Linked DNA regions of Schizosaccharomyces pombe. The main gene of each other region encodes a partner of the protein of the gene in region 4 in a complex. Each region holds a gene or a part of one and is shown on either strand. Other genes may lie near its edges. A codon is read from its position in the direction of its gene.

The links.
Region 1: the proteins of hht1 (region 4) and chp1 are in contact, whole or in part, in a crystal structure (PDB 3G7L), measured with the Schizosaccharomyces pombe proteins. Residues at the interface, in NP_594683.1 of Schizosaccharomyces pombe: Lys5 (codon at 1,270), Gln6 (codon at 1,267), Thr7 (codon at 1,264), Ala8 (codon at 1,261), Arg9 (codon at 1,258), Lys10 (codon at 1,255), Ser11 (codon at 1,252); in NP_593666.1 of Schizosaccharomyces pombe: Asp20 (codon at 2,198), Val21 (codon at 2,201), Tyr22 (codon at 2,204), Glu23 (codon at 2,207), Val24 (codon at 2,210), Trp44 (codon at 2,270), Tyr47 (codon at 2,279), Asp51 (codon at 2,291), Thr53 (codon at 2,297), Glu55 (codon at 2,303), Asn59 (codon at 2,315), Leu60 (codon at 2,318), Phe61 (codon at 2,321), Gly62 (codon at 2,324), Ala63 (codon at 2,327), Glu64 (codon at 2,330), Lys65 (codon at 2,333), Val66 (codon at 2,336).
Region 2: the proteins of hht1 (region 4) and clr4 are in contact, whole or in part, in a crystal structure (PDB 9IT4), measured with the Schizosaccharomyces pombe proteins. Residues at the interface, in NP_594683.1 of Schizosaccharomyces pombe: Thr7 (codon at 1,264), Ala8 (codon at 1,261), Arg9 (codon at 1,258), Ser11 (codon at 1,252), Thr12 (codon at 1,249), Gly13 (codon at 1,246), Gly14 (codon at 1,243), Lys19 (codon at 1,228), Gln20 (codon at 1,225); in NP_595186.1 of Schizosaccharomyces pombe: Ala298 (codon at 3,703), Asp299 (codon at 3,700), Thr300 (codon at 3,697), Gly301 (codon at 3,694), Ala302 (codon at 3,691), Val303 (codon at 3,688), Tyr357 (codon at 3,526), Ala367 (codon at 3,496), Ala368 (codon at 3,493), Asp371 (codon at 3,484), Thr380 (codon at 3,457), Tyr381 (codon at 3,454), Leu382 (codon at 3,451), Phe383 (codon at 3,448), Asp384 (codon at 3,445), Asp386 (codon at 3,439), Met387 (codon at 3,436), Thr395 (codon at 3,412), Ala417 (codon at 3,346), Ile418 (codon at 3,343), Tyr419 (codon at 3,340), Leu433 (codon at 3,298), Ile438 (codon at 3,283), Phe449 (codon at 3,250), Asp450 (codon at 3,247), Tyr451 (codon at 3,244), Ala452 (codon at 3,241), Gly453 (codon at 3,238), Phe489 (codon at 3,130), Gly490 (codon at 3,127).
Region 3: the proteins of hht1 (region 4) and asf1 are in contact, whole or in part, in a crystal structure (PDB 2DZE), measured with the Schizosaccharomyces pombe proteins. Residues at the interface, in NP_594683.1 of Schizosaccharomyces pombe: Leu127 (codon at 904), Ala128 (codon at 901), Arg129 (codon at 898), Arg130 (codon at 895), Leu131 (codon at 892); in NP_588267.1 of Schizosaccharomyces pombe: Asp37 (codon at 2,082), Asp58 (codon at 2,019), Thr59 (codon at 2,016), Leu60 (codon at 2,013), Leu61 (codon at 2,010), Val62 (codon at 2,007), Gly63 (codon at 2,004), Glu75 (codon at 1,968), Ala76 (codon at 1,965), Asp77 (codon at 1,962).

What each region holds. Positions count from the first base shown.
Region 1 is NC_003424.3:2,210,291-2,215,999, reverse strand, and holds chp1 (heterochromatin (HP1) family chromodomain protein Chp1), read left to right. Parts: upstream 1-1,654; 5' UTR 1,655-2,140; coding exon 2,141-5,023; 3' UTR 5,024-5,190; downstream 5,191-5,709. Other genes in the region: Rab11 family GTPase Ypt3, read right to left, coding at 1-185; aim18 (chalcone related protein), read left to right, coding at 5,325-5,709. UniProt on the Schizosaccharomyces pombe protein: Component of the kinetochore which plays a role in stabilizing microtubules and so allowing accurate chromosome segregation. Has a role in the RNA interference (RNAi) pathway which is important for heterochromatin formation and accurate chromosome segregation.
Region 2 is NC_003423.3:453,454-460,064, forward strand, and holds clr4 (histone lysine H3-K9 methyltransferase (Suv39) Clr4), read right to left. Parts: upstream 4,958-6,611; 5' UTR 4,595-4,957; coding exon 3,122-4,594; 3' UTR 2,860-3,121; coding exon of another isoform or gene 1,549-2,859; 3' UTR 1,492-1,548; coding exon of another isoform or gene 1,215-1,491; 3' UTR 1,145-1,214; coding exon of another isoform or gene 777-1,144; 3' UTR 543-776; downstream 1-542. Other genes in the region: pleckstrin homology domain protein Meu6, read left to right, coding at 777-1,144, 1,215-1,491, 1,549-2,859. UniProt on the Schizosaccharomyces pombe protein: Histone methyltransferase which contributes to the establishment of heterochromatin by specifically methylating histone H3 to form H3K9me. Part of the Clr4 methyltransferase complex (ClrC).
Region 3 is NC_003421.2:1,642,366-1,646,595, forward strand, and holds asf1 (histone H3-H4 chaperone Asf1), read right to left. Parts: upstream 2,220-4,230; 5' UTR 2,191-2,219; coding exon 1,402-2,190; 3' UTR 537-1,401; downstream 1-536. Other genes in the region: SPOM_SPCC663.18 (GTPAse-interacting protein), read right to left, coding at 225-352, 401-432, 469-506; osr1 (dehydrogenase), read right to left, coding at 2,750-3,511. UniProt on the Schizosaccharomyces pombe protein: Histone chaperone that facilitates histone deposition and histone exchange and removal during nucleosome assembly and disassembly.
Region 4 is NC_003424.3:4,698,176-4,701,110, reverse strand, and holds hht1 (histone H3 h3.1), read right to left. Parts: upstream 1,380-2,935; 5' UTR 1,283-1,379; coding exon 872-1,282; 3' UTR 551-871; downstream 1-550. Other genes in the region: hhf1 (histone H4 h4.1), read left to right, coding at 1,715-2,026; multifunctional aromatic polypeptide Aro1, read right to left, coding at 2,619-2,935. UniProt on the Schizosaccharomyces pombe protein: Core component of nucleosome. Nucleosomes wrap and compact DNA into chromatin, limiting DNA accessibility to the cellular machineries which require DNA as a template.

The DNA.
Region 1 (5,709 bases), 2.5 Mb from region 4:
TGTGCTTTAATTTTTTTGTTGTCAAGAACAATATTTCTAGTAGCAAATTCAACACCAATAGTACTCTTGCTTTCGATATTAAATTCATTCCTAGTGAAACGCATAAGTAGGTTTGACTTTCCAACACCACTATCCCCAATCAGCACAGTCTTGAACAAATAATCGTATTCGTCCTCTTGACACATGGCTAAGTTCTCTATCGGTAAATCTACGAACAATTTTTGTTAACAAATATTTAAGGTCAAATAATATCAAGGTATATACCTGTAAATTACAATGAACCCTGCTTTCGATAGTCGAAGAATTTACTTAGTCGTAGTTTGTTGTAGGTAAGTTGCAGAGGGATATCAGAAAACCTAAGGAAGTAATAATCCTTTATCATGGTAACAAAAAAAAGTCCACTAGTGCCACTGGCCGTTAAAATGCATATAACGCATTCCAATGATTCATTAAATAATTATACTGCGTTACAAAGAATGTCGTAATCATGAGAAGGCTGGTGTCGTTTAGTGATTGCTATCATCAAAATCATTATGCTGTTGTTCACTATAAAGCGCTATTTTGTAAACATTTTAAAATGCCTTTGATATAAAGAAGCGCAAGTACTCAATTGAATGCAAGTACTATCAATTATATGAATGACCGATTGAACCCAATCGCAAAACTGGATATGGACGGGTTGGTATGGGTTTTTACAGTGCGATTAGTCAGTACTATACCCATTTTAGTCCTGCATCAAACAATGATGTAGAAATTCTTTGAAAGCAATGTTTTGATTTCCAAGTTACAAAGTTATCTAGCCAAAGAAAGAATATTTTAAGTTCCGGTTTTTTCAGCAGCTTTTTCTCACTTTTATAATGGTCACAATGATCGAAATTAAAAATTTGAAAGAATAAAATTGGCGGCTCAATTGAAATCTTTTTCTTTATGCAAAAGTTATACAATGTTGGATGCTGCTCATGGCATGCAGGCATCCTTCATGCAGAAAGTTACTTGAGTAATCCATCGAATAATTATCGTTGGCAAATCTTGGGTTAACAAGAAACAAAAAAATCCTGCACATAAACAGTTTTTCTTATTAAGTTCATTTCATGGAAAACGAATAACATAGTTCCGTAATAATATAAGTAAATGGATCCCTTGGTTAACCTCTATATAAAATTAATGCAAGCAATTATCAAAAGAGGTCGTGTGGTTTAGATGGTTATAATTTCTGCTTAACATGCTAGTTCGCAGACGGTCCCAAGTTCGAGTCTTGGCACGATCATTTTTTTCTATCGTAGTAATTATTTACTTTTCTTATTGTACTACCAGTTTTGGAATGATATGTTGTGTTGAATTCGTTTATATAGAGTTAACACATTTAGAGGTATTATGTATAAACGCATCGTTTAATAAATTGCAGCGCTCAAAATCTACTCATTGTAGCTTTTTGAAAACAAAATTCATTATTTGTTTAAAGTTTTTCTAACTTACACAACCACCCAGAAAATAAAATTAGAAGTTCAGGAGGAATGAGAAAATTTTAAACATTTATCAATTTACCAACAAAGTTTTTTGACTACTAGTACCTCATGTATGCAACTAGTAACACTAGTGGTTAGTGAGTATTTTCTCAAAGTACATATGTCTCCATAGGTGTCTTCAAATCTGCAACCTCAACCTCACACACTTGATTAATGCAATAAAACTCCAAACCCAATCGAAAACTTATTTTTTTGTATATTTAACGGTTTGCGTTGGTGACACGACGGTAAAATCACGCGGATTTTGTTTGATTCCAAAATTCGAGTGCATAAGCCATCTTGCTTATTGCAGCGAGACTTCGAAATTCTAACATCTAAAAGCTTCATTACTGGAATTATCTGTTGTTATTCTTGTGTTCCATTGGTAAAAAAATCACAAGCAAAAGGGAAATATTTGAGCCATTTTAGAGGTTATACTCTGCCCTTCATGCAACTATAAAAGTAGTTGAAAGGGAAGAACTTTGGCTAATAGTTTTGTCAAGGAATCTATTCAATCTTGCTTAATTCCGTTTTTTTTTTAAATTCATATCTTTATCCTTTTATATATTTTTTTGTTGTAATACTTCAATCTCTCTTAGCGACACGTAGGTGAGCAAAAAACCCGCTACCTTGAAATGGTATCTGTTAAACCACTTCCTGATATTGACTCGAATGAAGGTGAGACAGACGCGGATGTTTATGAGGTGGAAGATATCCTTGCTGACCGCGTAAATAAAAATGGCATAAACGAATATTATATAAAATGGGCTGGCTATGATTGGTATGATAATACTTGGGAACCTGAACAAAATTTATTCGGTGCGGAAAAAGTGCTTAAAAAATGGAAAAAACGGAAAAAGTTAATTGCTAAAGGCTTGCTTGAACCTTTCGATGCGGAAGATAATGAGGCAAAGAAAATGAAGAGAGAAAAGGAGATATTGAGGCAACAAAGACAAAAGCGCAAATCCGAGCTTACCCAATTATCTCAAAAAGTCAAAGAAAAATTCAAAAAGATGCGTAAGAAGCCTGCCCGAAGGATTGTAACCATCGCAAATGATGAAGAGGAAGAGGACGATCAGACAATGGATGAGGATGCGTTTGAGAGAAAAAGTATGCAAGGGGAATTGAAGGAGAGGAATTTGACCGATAAAACTAGCACGCTATCCACATCGTTTGGTGAAACTAGCCCTGATGTTAATCCTTTCTACTTATCAGAGTGGCCTACAGTTACCGACAGTATTTTATTGTCCAAAAGCCTCTCCAGCGATGCAATACCTTTGAAAAATGGCGAAATTAAAAGCACAATGTTGATGCCCAGTGACTCTGACAACTCAGTTCCCGGAATTCAAAATTCGAACAATCTTGAAAATACTGGCGCTTTTGTTGAAAATGCGAATTCACCACAATCTAACACCCCCTTGTCAACCTTTAGGCATTCAAGCCCTTTAAGTCTGTCGCCAGTAATAACTTCCGATAATGATGTTGCCAATTCATTATTTTTTAGCAATTCGACTCCTCTTCCTTCCTCTTTGAAGATAAAAAAGGAAGCACCGAAATTAGAAACGCATACGATATTAGTTAGTGATAATTCTGGTTCTTTAACGAAGCAAGATATTTTATCGTACTTTGCTTTTATCAAAGGAAATATTGAGGTCTTTTTTCTCAAATCACCAAAGAAAGACAAAGTTTGTAATATGGCCTACATTCAATTCGATTCTATCGAACAAGCCAAACTTGCGTATGATAAAGGGCATCCAAGTTGGCATGTAACTTTAGTAAAAGGGAAGATATCAACTGATATGGAAGAATGTAAAGTCTCAAAGTCTATTTTAAAAACAACCCCTTCAAAGAAAGCAAATGCAAGGTCCGTTTCTTTTACACAAACAACAACAGATACCCTTTCTGAGTCGGAAAAATTTGCTAGCAATGTCGATCTGGACGAAAATTTCGATTTCAACGTAAACGTGACGAATGAAGATGCTAAGCAGCTTAAGAAAAGTGTTATCGGAAGTAGTTGGACTACTGTTAATAACGACTGGAACAGTGTTTCTAAAAGCGATCAAACTTTTGAAAATGATGGAGCTAGCAAAGTAGTTCCGGCTGGTAATATTACTTTAAATTCGGATAACTCTCTTCACCATTCGATAAGCGAATCCGAAGATCTTTCTTCAGCAAGCACATTGTCTGATTATTTTAGATTCGTTTTGCGAGTCGGAAAATCTCTCTACTATGCTGGAGAATTGTCATTTGATATATCCAAGCTTAAGGCGGAAACTGAACATCAACAGTTGTTACGAAGTTTAGTCAGTTGCAAGCAAGTAGATGTTTTACGTTTTGTTACTTCACAATATCTCGAGGTATTTGGTACTTGCTTGACTAAAGTTCTTTCCGGAAGTCTTTGTATTCGAAGCGATGTTGATATGACTCACTTTAAAAATATACTAAACCGCGGCAACGGTGCTGGCATCGTTCTGGGTAGTAACTATACATTATTATTATTTACAGAGGATAATAATGCTTTAATGAATTTATACGATTGTCAAGGCCAAAGCAATAGCCCTTTTTGGATGGTGATTTTTGAACCTTTAGAATCAATCCTAGTCGAATGGTCGGCAAAAAATCTAAGGCCTAAAAAGCCATATCATAAATCCCAATCTTACTTGTCTTATTTACTACAATTAGGCCACATCGATTTACATAAAATAGGCGCTTTTCAAGCTACACAAATTTTAATTGTCTCTAAACAGCCTTCTCCGGAGGCAGAAGAATTGGAGGATACTTTTAGAGAAGCTGCTATTCCGACATTTCGAGGACTCGAGATTCCGGAATCTTTGTTTTTATCACAGAATGTTTTTGTTTTCCTGAATGTCTCACTAGAGGATGATTTTGATCAACTGCAATTTTTAACACTGGCGAAAAGGAAAAGTTGTAAATTTTTCTTATTTGGTTTGTCACTCCCTCTCAAAAGTCCTAATGATTCACACGTGGGTACGGACTTTAAGAAAAACAATGAACCCCTTGATAAGTTGACATATTCACAGTACTTAAGACCGATGTTTCCTAAGGGTGGGGTGGTATCTGTTACACTCTCAGCACTTATAAAAACACCACGGCTTTTGGAACTCATTAGTCCATTTCTTGAGATTAAAAAAGATTCATGGATTTTAATTCTACCCCCATCAATTGTGGATATGGTCAAGAGCTATTTTGTAACAAACAATCCAGACAAAAGTCTCTTGGAAATTCAAAACTTATTGAATACACTCCAGCGCTACCTGACCAACCCAGCGCTGAAGAACGTGACTTTGTATCAGGATTGGGATATTGTGATCGATGATAGCGCTGATGTATCTTTAGCCAGCACTCTACAATTGTACCAGAAAAAAAATTATGATAAATATAGAAGGTTCGTATTGATTCACGAGCTTAAAAATGAATTGACGCCAGTTAATGGCCTTGACATTGTTGACTATGATGAGTTCAAAGAGACTTTTATGAGAGCTATTGGTTTAAAATAGTCGTTTTATTTATTTTGGGATACGGCGGACAATGGGATATATAGACTGACATTTTTTCTTATTACGAATGGATAGGAATACTTAAAATTAAACTCAAAGACTTATACTAGAAAATAACAGTCTACTCTTTAGAAATTAGACGATTAATTAATTAATTAATTTTTTCACTATATAATAACCGTATGTTTCAACATTGTTAGTTGTTTTTGCGCACCTCCTTAAAATCTAGGATCTCTTGGAAAAACATGTGATCCAATACCAACCGGCTAATATCTGTGTGTGTGTATTTAAACTAAACAACATGTTTGGTACTCGTTTTTTTGCTTATCAATTTTGCAAGAATTGGTTATCGAAACGACCAGGATTGGTCTTTTGGAGCTCAGTAGCAACAATAAATGCCATGTATCAAACTCGCCCTCTATACTGTGAGAGTGTCACCAAGACAATTCAACAAACATACGAAGGATTAGTTCAAAAAAGAATTAATAATGAGGATGAACTATTTTTGTTAGGTTCAGGACCGCGATATGTTTCTTTTCTAAGTATTCATGTGTATGATATCGAATTGTATATTCAGAAGAAAGATGTTCAAACCGTTCACACTATATTGCAAAAGGAGGTAGATCCGAAATTAGGGCTAGAAATGAGTATGAAAGACGAAGAAATTGGAAGTCGGATCGTGGCAG
Region 2 (6,611 bases), on a different chromosome or scaffold from region 4:
GCTATAGTTTTCTTGGAAGAAGTGTAAATATTAAAAGGAAATTTCCAATTCAAAGATGTGGAAAGCATTAAAAAACATCCTTCCATTCTATTGAAAATTTTAAACAATTTGAAAATACCTCGAGTTTGGATTTGCTTTTTTGAAACTAGCGTTCGTCAAAAATAATAAGTAAATAAATAAAAATTTAAAATCTCGTAAAATTCTTACCAATTAAAACCTACTTAGTTTTTAAGCAAAACAAATGAGCAGAATAGTTAAACAACATTTAATTTTTATAAAAAAAGGAACTAATGGTGACAATCATGTATAAAGTCAATGAAAAATATGGCTCATCTGTTGTTGTTAAACAGATTTCAACTCAAATGAAAATTTTAGGATGGTAGTCGCAATTAGAAATTAAAGACAAACACTTAATTGTAAAATCTCTCAATACTATATAGTTCATTCAATCGCAGACAGCTCGATTCCAGAAGAATGTATATGTTTTGATACGAATGAGCGAATACAAGATTTAATGGCCGTTGAAGATTTTATTAATAAGAATGAATTAGTAGAAATTTTTTAACATTTAAAAAGTAAATTCTATGTATTTTCCCTTTTCTATTGATGTCCATCGTTTGTTTGTATATTAGGTAGTCGATTTGTTTGTTTACATTCTCGCCAACAATTGGTATTCAAATAACCAGCTTGGCGCAGACTTTTCCTCTACCACAAATATTTACAGCATAAAAAAAATCCAAAATTGAGAGCCTAACTGTTGTTTTCGACTTCTTATCATGTCTTATGAGGGCCGTGAAGAACGACCTGAGCAGATTGCTGAACCTACTTTCGAAAATGTGTCGGAACACAATGAACATGATTCGGGATCTGCTGAGGCCCAGGTGGAGACACTGGAGGTGCCATTGAGCAACGAAACCGACAATGATGATGCCACTGAAAACGCTGTTCCTGCAGAAGTACAAGCACCTGAGGAACCCAAGGAGCCTGAAACAGTCGACAATATCGATCCTGCAGATGATGATCCAAACAGCGTGGCAGCTCCCAAGGTTGAAGAAAAAAAATCCAAGAAGAAAGCCAAGGATGAAAAACCATTGACCTACACCACTGGTGGGTATTTATACTGTCGATCCAACGGACTTATTCCGTAAGTCAAAACAGCATCCATTTATTAAAAATCAAACAATCGATTGAGTAATCTTACTAACCACATGTAGTCATGTCATGAAAAGGTATTTTTATATGCTAGAAGGCCCTATGTCTATGGATTTATTAGACCATTATTATAAAAAACACTTCCATGGTACTTTGCAAGGTAACCCAACGGAACCTTCCTTAGCTTCTGAGCAAATGCACGACTCTGATGCTGATTCCCTCTTCCAGTCTGCTAATGATCACCTTAACCGTATCGCTAAAGCTACTCAAGACTGCCGTGGTTTACTCTTTTACTCCAAATCTCAATCAACTAGTGTCCCAAGCGGAATCATTAATTTGGTAAGAATTCCTAATTCCCCTGATTTTTAGTTTTAACCGTGCTAACTGTATTTTCAGACTGATGCAGTATCCATAGAACCCGGTACTGGAAACAAATTCACCATCAATTTTAACAATGGTAAATCAGAAACACTTGAAGCCCTAGACCCAGAAAGTAAAAATACATGGATTACTGATCTCAAAAATGCCATTGCTAAGAAAAAGGAAACCAAAGATAAAATTAAAGAGCTTCGTGCTTACAATGACACGCTTAAAAGACTCGGCAAGTTAGCAGCTCGTTCAGGTCCTTCAGCAAGTGAAACATTTCGTTATTTCCTTCCAATGCTTTCTAACGGACGGGACGCGAAAAAGTCATCTAGTAAATCTCATGGCGGAAAACAAAACAATTCTGTTGCCAAAGACGGTCTTTTTGACTTTTTTCAAAACATGATTAAGGGGAAAACTCCGCAAAACGATACGGCTAGTCCCATTGATAATGAAACGTCAGCTGACCCGGTTGATACTACTGTTGAAGCACAATCAGTCGAAGTTCCTGAGAATGAAACTAACCAAATTCCCACCACTGAAGAACATTTTCCTGCTACTACGGAAGAAGTGGCTCCCGCATCAGAAGAAAAACCAGCCACAGGTCCGGCAGAAGAATCAACATCAACTCAAAATGTTGAGCAAGCTTCTACTCAAAATGATAACGGAACCCCCATCGGTCAAATAGCAGACGCCATTGAAGAAGATGTTAAAGGTACAGCCCAATCAGTTGAACAAGCTTTCATAGAAGAGACTGATATTGCACTTCCTGATATAGCACTTCCCGATGTTGCGACCCCTACTGCAGACGATCAAGACCCTTCCACTGCAGCTACTAATGAAGAGAGTGTTGTCAGCAATGAAGATAGAACGTCTAAGAAAGCCGGAAAAAAGCATCATCGGCATCATAAGAAGAAAAAAGGAGGCAACAAGAGAGTATTCGGCTTTAAGCTTCACAAGTATGCTAAACCTACCAAAAGTGTTAAAACTTTACAGGCAGATCCTTCCCTTGAATTTGCTAAGGCAGGATTTGAGATATTTCCTTCCAACCTTTCAAAGAAGCTCTCAGGTTTGGTGCAAAAAAAAGTGCATAAGAAGTTTGATAAAGACGGGAGACTAAAAGAAATTTCCCAGTTCTCAAAAACCACAATAAAACCGGAAACTCCCTTAACTCCTACAACAACTCCAACGCCTCGAACAGCTGCACAAGAAGACCCAGCTGAAGAAACAACTGATGCCCTCGCCTCAGCAGAAGGAGAAAACAATCAGATGCCCCAGGTGCTCGAAACAGAAGCAGCTCCTTCTATAGCTTCTGAAGGACGGTCCATTACCGTTAACGCTTAAACGCCCTTTTTACTTCACATGTGCGCAGCAGATGAAAAGAGTTTTTCCATTAACGCTAGGCTTTACAACAATTACTATAATGCTTTCAACAAGTGTAAAAAATATAAGCACCGATATGTTTTACCGATAATTGTTCGGCAAATCCCACAGGTCAGATAATATACATAATCTCGTTGCTTAGAAAATGAATGACCTTTTTCAGTTTAACAGTAATGGAGAAAAACAAATTGTAATTATTGGAGTCAACCAGTAATAAATTAGCTTAACCGAAAAGCCAGCCACGACAATTAGCGGAACCACATTTGCACTGCCGGCGAAGTTTTGAAATTCTATTTTGCTGAGATTTTTGAGATTGAACAGGTGAGAAATCTTTTGCACCAGCGTAATCAAATGTAAGCTCCTCTAGAGGCTGAATGTCTTTGATGGCAAAAAAAGCGAGATCATAAATGGTTCGAAATCCATGGTTCCGAACAGCAGAATAAATAGCTATATTAGGTGAACAGGAGTGGTTAAAAAAACGAGAGACATCTCCATAGTTCTGAGCATCCACTGTATACTCGCTAGCATCATCAAACATGTCTAAATCAAATAAATAGGTAATACCGTCGTCGTCATAATTTTTGTCACGCTTGGCGGCCTCTGCTGAAGTTATGACTTCTCCTAAATAGCAAGTGATAAACGTGCCAGCAGGGGCAAATCGAAGCGAACGTACACCCCATCCTTTTTCTTTTGTTTTAAATATTTCAAGCGGAAGAGTTCTACCACGTTGAACAACGCGATTAGGACACTCCATTGAACAAGAACAAAAAGAGTTGCATTCATATATAACGGCACCCGTATCTGCACGGACCCGCCCCTGTGCATCATAGGCAAAATGAGTTGGCTCATCCAAATCATCTAAACACTCACAACGAGAAGGATTGTTAAGGTCACAACCGCCAAGGGACGAGCAATTGCATCCAGATTGAAAATTTGGATCAGGCGGGATAACACCTTGTGTTAAGCGGTACTGGCTAATGAATTGAAAATCTAAAGATGGACAGGGTTCATCGTCAACTTCATTGACAAGCGTTACTTCGGGTCCTTCAATTTCCCGCAGTTTCTTACGAAATAGCTCTCTCTTTTCGTAAAAACTTAGATGGGTATAAGAGTCAAGTTTGGAAGGGTTTCGCGGTTTTGTGAGAATTGAAGATGTTTTGGGGGATGTAGCTTCTTTAATAGAATTGGAAACTAGTTCTCTTTTTTGAGATTCCTCCTTCACTTCATTTCTCGTCTTCCCCAGCTTCTTTGAATTTGTATGAAGACTATCGTCTAAAATGATACTAGTATCATTCGTCGTCAGAGCGGTGGATTGTTTTCGAGATTGTCTCTTGGTAGTTTGAGAAGAAAAAACCTTTTTATTTTCCTTTTTTACATTCAATTCCCGCGAAAATCTTTGAGAACGAGGCACTGACTTTGAAGTTTGATGTTGGTGCTTTTGTCTACTGTTTGGATGTGGATTGCTCGCATGGTGCGGTGAATCCGAGTCGGAGTTACTTCCCTTTAGTCTCCTCTTCCGCCTTTTCCATTCTGCTAAAACGGCAGAACATCCAGAAAGGTTCTCAGGGGGCTCCCAAGTATCACTTCTAGATGAATAGTTCAACCATCGAATGCGATATAGTTTGACAGCTCCATTACGATCCAATTTTTCGTCCACAATCCTTTCAACTTCATACTCCTCTTGTTTAGGCGACATTCGCAAAACTAATAACCTCTTGTTTGGTGAGATGATTTTTAGCAAACCCTCCAAATGATGCCTGAACGAATTTAAAAAATAAAATAAGGAGAGGGTTTATGTTAATATGACAATTGCTAAAGGACTAAAATAATAGACGACCGCGAACTCAGAATATAAAACTGAATGTTTTTTAGTAATGAGCAATAAATATATAAAGTCGATGTGTTCAATTTCAGAGCAAAATTGAAGCTCTGAAATTTGAAAAAGGTATCAAGTACAAAGTAATTTTAAAGTTATAATATACAAATCAACTTTCAAACAACAATCCAAACTAGCAATGCCAATTCATGTTATAACAGTTTGTATTTCGACCAGGTTGTTGAATCGCACTCCTTTACAGAAGTCAAAATTTAAAGAAACGGAGAATCGCCCCGTAAAGGAAATACGGTGTTAACAACACACTGCTCTAATGAAGAACACGTAACGTATCACTATATGTCATATGTTAGGATATTACTTTAGAGCAGTTTATTGATAAATGCGCAAAACCATTTTCATATTTACATAGACGCTGGCTAATGAAGACTAAAAAGATTATAAATTGAGCTGCAACTGAACTGAGGAATGAACTTCAGTTATAAGCTATATTAGTTATAGGTCACAATGCAATCTAGATAATTTAATACCTATACTCAATTGCTACTTGTAATACCTGTGTATTGTAATACGTTAACAAGGAAAAATTACCGCAGTTCTATGTTATCGTTAAAGCAGATACCAAACTGCGTAGCTGACTTTGTATCAGTGTGCAGCACGGAGTCTAACCCATCTGTGTCTAAATAAGAAAGTTGAGCGTTTTTAAAAAACAATAGTATGTTCAATTGCTCTATAATAATAAAAGAAATGAAACAACAGTAAGATTGTCCATAGAAAAACTTTTTACACAATTAGTCGCATCGCCATTTTTATAATGATTAAAAACTATTATATTTGACTATCGGGTTTTGATTTCGGTACAAAGAATGCCTATAAACAAGCTTCTCGCAAAATTAATAAAGTAAGGAACCAAATACCTTTGCATTCGAGCATTCATTTTTTAATAATGGTTAAACTTGAGCTCATTAGATAAACAAGGTCAATTAAAAAAGATTGAGTCTCCAGCCAACTTTCAGAACGCGATAACCCATAACCCATTCTAGAAGCACATGTTGGTATTTGGTTTTTTCGCTTGTTAATTTTGAATGACAATGGAGAAGTCATGTACTCCATTTCTGGATAAATTTTCTGCAGGCTCTAAAGGTTGATTAACAGTAGCCAATCCAAAATGTTGCTAATTTGGTTCAATTTTGAATTGCAAATCGGTGGTGCCAACATGCCTTAAAAAGTTCCATTTAAATTTAAACTTTGAAAAAATGAATAAAGAAAACAAAAAACCATACATGCTTTGACCCATATCTCTAGTGCTTCTTAATACTCTATGTGAAAGCTCCCTTGATAATTGTCGATCTCAATTAGATGGTGCGATAAATTCACCAGACTACAAACTCAAAATTTGATTGCAGAATACCTACTGTACATTAGATATATTTTTTGAACGAAGCCTTTAATCCTATCCCTTCATACCATAAACAAAAAAACAAAGCCCAATATAACATGCCAGGGATTCAATATTACCAATGATGCCTCTAGTGAATGAGAATGAAATTTCAGATCCATATACTGTGCACAAAAGATTCAACAAATACACTTTGAATGTAACTAATATTGTAGCCACCATACCGGGTTGCGAAATTTTCAATGTGGAATAGGCCATACCGAAGACAAAATCTCTGTATATATTTACGATTTTTCAATTGTATTTCTTGCTTTTAATCTTGCTTTATTATTTATTATTTGAAGTGTGAAAGGACAAGATGTAAATATATTAACAATTGCATATTCGCCTCTTATAGAATTATGACGGAAATTACCTACTTGCCGAACGAATGTGAAAATAAATAAAAGTTCTTTAGCATCTTTGGAAAAAAGAGATTAA
Region 3 (4,230 bases), on a different chromosome or scaffold from region 4:
GAAAACAAACACTTAAAGTAATCCAGTCATTCGTCCAAAAACTTTTCTGAGAATTCGCAGTTTTAACAGCGTTCTTACGCATCTATCCAAACGAACCTTATTTTTTTTTCTTCTTCATCGAACGAATCATACAAAAAACATCAAAAAAAGCGATTAATCAATTCAATGGTGCATCAACAACTCTTTCTGTACAAGTGTTGCTTCATAAAGAGGGTTAAACGACTTTACTTCTTGGGAACAGTCTGACGATTCTGAAAGGCCATCATGCTGCCGATGTATTGGCACAGATACTCGCTTTCTCGACTAATGTTTTCAGATTCCTGTTTGTTTTGATCGATCTCATCCAACAAAGCTATCAATTGTTAGTCTTTTCTTTCTCCAAAACGCACCGCCATCGTACCTTGCAATTGCTGTTGCAATTCCATCGCTTTCCTATCAATTTAGCAAAGAACTAGCAAAACCACTTACTGCTCCATCAAACTTCTTGGCAAGGAATCTGTACTCATTGAGTAATGCGCTTTTTTTGTTTTTTTGCGGAAAATGGGAGGTTGGGAAGTGTCTTACCAGCGTAGCGTCAATACATGTCATTTCCCATTGCTGTGACTTAGGGGTGTCACTCAATTTAAAGAGGCCACTGCAAGAGACATTATCCTTAATTGAGTTGAGTATTGCTATACGCAATATTTAAATAGCGTTTTATGTCATAATACGTTTTATTAGCGAACGGATTACATTGGAGTACGCAACTGATGGGTCTTGCAATAAACAAATATACATAGGGCGAAAACTAGAATGAGTGCTGCTGTCTTTTGGATGAATAAGTTAAATATGGAACATACTAATAATGGATCCACACATTAATAAACTGGAAAAAGATCCCGTCCCGTAAGGATAAATCGAGGAGAGAAAGCTTGCGTCTGTGCCCTAATTATGTTTTGAAAAACATGAAATGCACACTTCATACACCAGGATGCGAAAGTCTTTCAACAATTTACATGGGAAAAAAAGAAAATAATAATCTAATAGAACTCCGTTCCAAAATATGGAACGTTGGTACAAATGATGCGTTTAGGGCGATTGGAAGAGGCATACAATAGATGCTTCTTCCCTCCATTATGCAACGGAAAGGTCGACGGTTCAAAAATGAATTTAAATAAAAGATGTGTTATGAAAAATGCTTTATGGTAACAGGAAAAAAAATGCTATTCCTCTTTTCCCATTCCATAGTTTTTATTCTCACACTATCACCAGTCATGAATATTTTACATCGAAAAAATAACGGGTAGAGCGATATATATGCGCAAACTAAAAGAGAGTATACAAAAAAGTAATCATGTTCTTTATCGGATTAGTTCTTGTCAATATTAGTATTAGCATTCAAAAAATAGTCCGATTATCATTTTACTGAGACGTCTCTGGTTTCTCCTCAGGTTTCTCTTCCGCAGCTGAAGCATTTGCAAGAGCCGACTCTTCTTCTTCTTCCTCTATATCAATTTCTTCTTCTTCTTCTTCTTCCGATCCTTTCCCATCATTTTCTCCTTCTCCATCACCATCACCTTCTCCATCACCGTCTCCATCGTCTTCCTCCTCCTCCTCCTCATCGCCTTCTCCCTCTTCATCGAATTCTTCCTCCATTTCATCAGCTTCCTCCTCTTCTTCCTCTTCGTCCGCGTCAGGCTGAACTGGTGGAGCATCGTCAAAGTCGGGATTATCCCACTGAATGTTGAATCGAGTCACCCTTGGCTTTTCTGCTAAAATACTGCGCCAGACTTTAGAAATGTCAACCTTGACCTTTTTAATTTCTGCATCGTCCATTTCCTGAAGGTTCAGGCCCTCCATCTCATTGTTGACATAATAACCTACTCGAACAAACTCATTATCCTCATATGCACAAGAGAGTAAAATAACTGTGACACCCAAAACATCGCTGAGTTGAGGTAAAAGATCGATATTAGGAGGATCAGCTTCAAAAACGAATTTATTAATCCCGATTGGTATAGGTCCCACTAGTAGCGTGTCCAAAATTTGGTCGTAACTTTGAGACGTCGCACTACCTACATATGTCAACTTCCATTCCAGGTCGCTTTTTAACGGCTCCAGACATTCAAAGGTAATTTCGAATTTATATGGATCAGAGAACTTTGCCGGATTATTTAGCACATTAACACTAAGGATATTCACGATTGACATTTCGAAGTGAAACGCGTCTAAGCGATTGCCAAGAACAGCGTAGGTGAAGAAAGGTTTCGTAGAGTTCGGATAATTAAGGATACGCTTGACTATTTTATATCGCTTTTCGTGCTCTAAGGTAATAACACCTATTTGATTCAAACATATAAGGATTAAAATGCAGTAAATATAAATACTGAAGGCACATCTAAACAATGCCTCACTATTCGGTAAACAATAGAAAACATAACCATTGTTAAGTATTTTATGCGAAAGTACGAAGAACTTACAGAGCAGTTTAGTTAAACATAACCGTTGTTTAATAAAAATTTCTATTTCATTAATAATGCATGCAATGTACAATTAATATGATCATCAAATTTCATTGTGCAAAAACAACTCGTATGTGAAACATAAAAAATAGACATAACCTCCTTCATCTCTAATTATTAAAAAAGATATACAAGCGGATTAAAACATATATTTAGGGTTATTGTAAGTTCCTTCGATCATTCGGTTATATAATATTGATGCAGCTTAACAGCAAATCCGAATGACTTGTTAATGATGTGAATTTCCATCAGTATGGAATTGTAGTACCATCATAGTTGAAAAAAAATCCATTATTTTCGGGCTTCAAATTGTCTACAACTTTCAACATATCTGAAGCGCTTTGGTCTGGTGCCAAGGCCTGTTTCGCAAAGATATCTAAAATTTCCGGTTTCGCTTCAGCATGCTGATTTACAGCTTCCTGAGCTGAATCGGTTCGAACCATTCCGGGATGAATTGAAATCACTATGAATCCTTCATCTTGTAGCTCAAAACTAATTTCCTTCATTGTAAAATTTAAAGCAGCCTTGGATTGGCCATAACCAGATTGGTTAAATGGGAAGAAAGCACCCATGGATCCAACTAATGATGAAGTAAAAACAATGATTTTAGATTCTCCTTTCTTCACAAGAGGATAAAAGGCTTGGTAGACATGAATTGGTCCTAAAACATTGGTTTTATAGTGAGAGTTCCAGACATCATCAGGAGTATTCAGAACAGTGTTGAAAGAATGAAAAATGCCCGAATTTACCCAAAGAACATCTACTTTACCTACAGCTTTTGCAACTTCTTGAGCGGCTTCATTAGCACTCTCTAGAGAGGAGATATCTAACTTAATAATATGCACATTGGAATGAGACTTGCTCCATTCTTGTAATTCAGTAGCAGCTTCAGGCTTGCGGGCACTTGCAAATACAACTGTTCCTTCTCTGTTGCTCAATTCCTTAACAAGAGAGAGTCCAATGCCTCGATTTCCTCCTGCAATAAAGTAAATTTTGTTGGTAGTAGACATATTCTAACACAATATTTGAATGATCCTTGAATCCGTTTGAAAAGTGTAATTTGGTGTCGGCAATTTATCATTAACTTCGTGCTTATATACCAATTCTTCAAATCATTATGCTTACGTGATTTGAACCGTGAATTTTGATGCTTACATAATTGAATATACTTCCAAAATCAGCAGGTTCATAGTAGTTCACGTAGAGCGTTAGGTGATATTTTGCCATATAATATGGATATTGCAACTAATCTTTATAACCCGTTCCATTGGTTTGTCAGCTGCTTCCTTGATACTGCTTGCATACTGAATAGTATTCCTTTAAATGCACCTTTCTTTTAATTTCCTTGATAAAGTATCATAAAGGGAGAATTTATTTGAAAATTGTTTAATTGATAATGCTGAGACATTGGCCATAGGAGAAAAGCGTTGAATCAGGATACAAAAAAACAACTCTTTTAAACCTTGAAGTCCTTTCACAATAAAAATTATTAAACAAAAAAAACATAGAAATAGAATAATTTTAAGATAAAATATAAGTTTGCAACCGATTTAAGCATTGCTGTATGAACACTTGAATTTTTTATATGCGACGCCCTTCTTTATATATCCAAAGGTTGAATAAAACGTATCAAGATCTAAAACTGCTGAACAATCCAAGTGGCACCTTGGACTCGCTCAAACTTTTTATGCTCGTAAACATTTGTAAGAACATATGAAATTAACAAAAA
Region 4 (2,935 bases):
CTTCCTTTTTATGTTAAGAATAATCATCCGAATAAATTTCAAGGCTTAATTATGAAGTCGCTAACAAAGGACTACTTTTACTCGTTCAACTATGCTTAAGAAAGCTCTAAATTTTTAAAAATAAGAATTAAAACGACCGTTAATTCTCTTATAAATGCAATTCCAGGTTCTAAAGAGAGGTTACATAACAAGCAGGAAAGAATGACTGATTATTTTTCACGAATTGTCTATTTTTTTTCGGCCGATAAGTTCATTACATGCTCGATTTGTCTTTGCAAAATATCTTTCCGCGATATATCAAAGCTATTAAGCTATTAAACAGTTCGTAAATACCTGAAAACAGTTTGTTCATATAAATATGTGCAATTCTTTATGCGAACCGCCATTAAACGATAAAGAATGCTGCGATAACAACCAAATCTCAATACCAAAAGTGTAAAGATTTTTAAAAAAAGCATTGTCTTCGTAGTTCTGTATTCTTTTATAAAACAAAAGACATAAATTTAACAGATACTTGAAATAAAAGAAATCATGTTTCAAATAAAGGTACTTGTTGTCATTAGTTTTCATTAATGTACATAATGTGTTATCTAAACTTGTCACTCTCAAGGCTGAATTCATTCGCATGAATTAACGACAAGTTTCTATAATTGAAGATAAATTCAAACAACCAAATTAACACATATCCGTTCCCATCAAAGTGAACGTTCATCTAGCTCTTGGTAATGTAGAACAAAAACAACAATTATTCACGAAGCCTGCTTTTCACTTATTGGTAGCAACATATCAAAGGGTGACAGTATAATACAGGCAAGCAGTCAATCAAAATTAATTTAGTCTCAATTACAATTGCCAAAAGTCCTGGAGAAAATTATGAGCGTTCGCCACGGAGACGACGAGCCAACTGCATATCCTTGGGTTGAATCGTAACACGTTTTCCGTGAATAGCACACAAGTTAGTGTCCTCAAATAGAGAGACAAGGTAGGCCTCAACAGCTTCTTGGAGAGCACCAATGGCAGAAGATTGGAAACGCAAGTCAGTCTTGAAATCTTGGGCGATTTCACGGACCAAACGTTGGAAAGGTAGCTTACGAATTAAAAGTTCAGTAGACTTTTGATAACGACGAATCTCACGAAGAGCGACAGTACCAGGACGATAACGATGAGGCTTCTTAACACCTCCGGTAGCGGGAGCGGCCTTACGAGCGGCCTTAGAGGCCAATTGCTTACGGGGTGCCTTACCACCGGTAGACTTACGAGCTGTTTGTTTAGTACGAGCCATTATATCAAGCTAGTAGAATGAATATCAAATAAAAAGACAATCGAGAAAAAAATAGCTGTTGTGCTACTTTTGCCAATTGTTGATCTTTAGAATTAATGGAAACGCAAGCGTACTGCAGATATTTGCTATATATATGTTTTGAATCCACCCGATCTCATCAAAAGCAGGGTTAGGGTTTTGATGCAGATTCAAAACAAATAGACAGCGTCGCCCCAACTTCCCTCTCTTCAGACAATCATTTCTTTTAATTGTTTTTGAATACGGATAAAATCCTTTGTCAATTTGCATTGACTTTTATCCTACCGTTAACATCTGTTGACATCTATAAATTCATTGTTCCTTTGTTAGTCAACGGAAAACCCCTTTATCTTTATTATACTTAAAGAATTACGCGTTTTTTTGCGTAGATTTTAATTTTTTCTACTTCTTAACATGTCTGGTCGTGGTAAAGGTGGTAAAGGTTTGGGAAAAGGTGGTGCTAAGCGTCACCGTAAAATTCTTCGTGACAACATTCAAGGTATTACTAAGCCTGCTATCCGTCGTCTTGCTCGTCGTGGTGGTGTGAAGCGTATTTCCGCTTTGGTTTATGAAGAGACTCGTGCTGTTCTCAAGCTCTTCTTAGAAAATGTTATTCGCGATGCCGTCACCTATACTGAGCATGCCAAGCGTAAGACTGTCACTTCTTTGGACGTTGTCTATTCTTTGAAGCGTCAAGGCCGTACCATTTATGGTTTCGGTGGTTAAACTCCTATTACATTGATTTTTTTCTCCTTGTTTGTATATCACTTTATTATTTACCACTTAATTCCTTTTTTACCCCTGTCTGCTATAAATGTTGTGCAATTGTTCGTGAAATTTGAATTATCTATCAATATAATTTTTGTGGATTATTACCTCTTTCTGCGACTTTCCCTTTTTCAGCAGTCTTATAAGTTCTGTTTTTAATTGGATTTGTTCTGCATATGTTTTTATGACTAGTTTCTTTTGTAGGTGATATTATTTTTTGCAAACAATGTCTTTGAATGTCACACTTTAATAAACTTAATTATCACGTTTCGCAAAATACTTCATTTTGTAGTCGAAAGTAGATACAAGTTGGTATGCAAAATGGTACAGTAATGTTTCCACTTCTACAAGATTATTTTTGTTGTTGTAAATTTACAGCGTTCATACATTTTGCGACTGCTTACTGATCATTGACATACCAAGCGTCAATTGGCTTCCTGATTCTACTAGCTGAAGTGCTAAAAAAAATTACTTCCTGTATTTTTATTCTACATTTGTATCAAAATAGATTTCAAAATACCTAACTAAATCGAAAATTTGAATTGTTGACTTACTCAATAACCTTTTGATAAACAGCATCAAATGGTGCTGTCATTCCAGTCCACAAATGAAAAGACGCAAGACCTTGACGAACTAAAGCTTCCAATCCGTTGCAACATTTCCATTCCAAGTCAGATGCAACAGCCATTAGAGGTGTATGCAAGGGCTTGTAAGCCATGTCAAGGAATACTCCACCATCGGCTTTGTTAGCAAGCAAAGCTTTAATAACAGATGCAACTTTTTCAGGAAGCTCAATATCTGCAGGAATTGTCGAGACGACCGCGGAAAGGGTAACACTAGATAATTCTTCAGAAGGAATATTGTCAG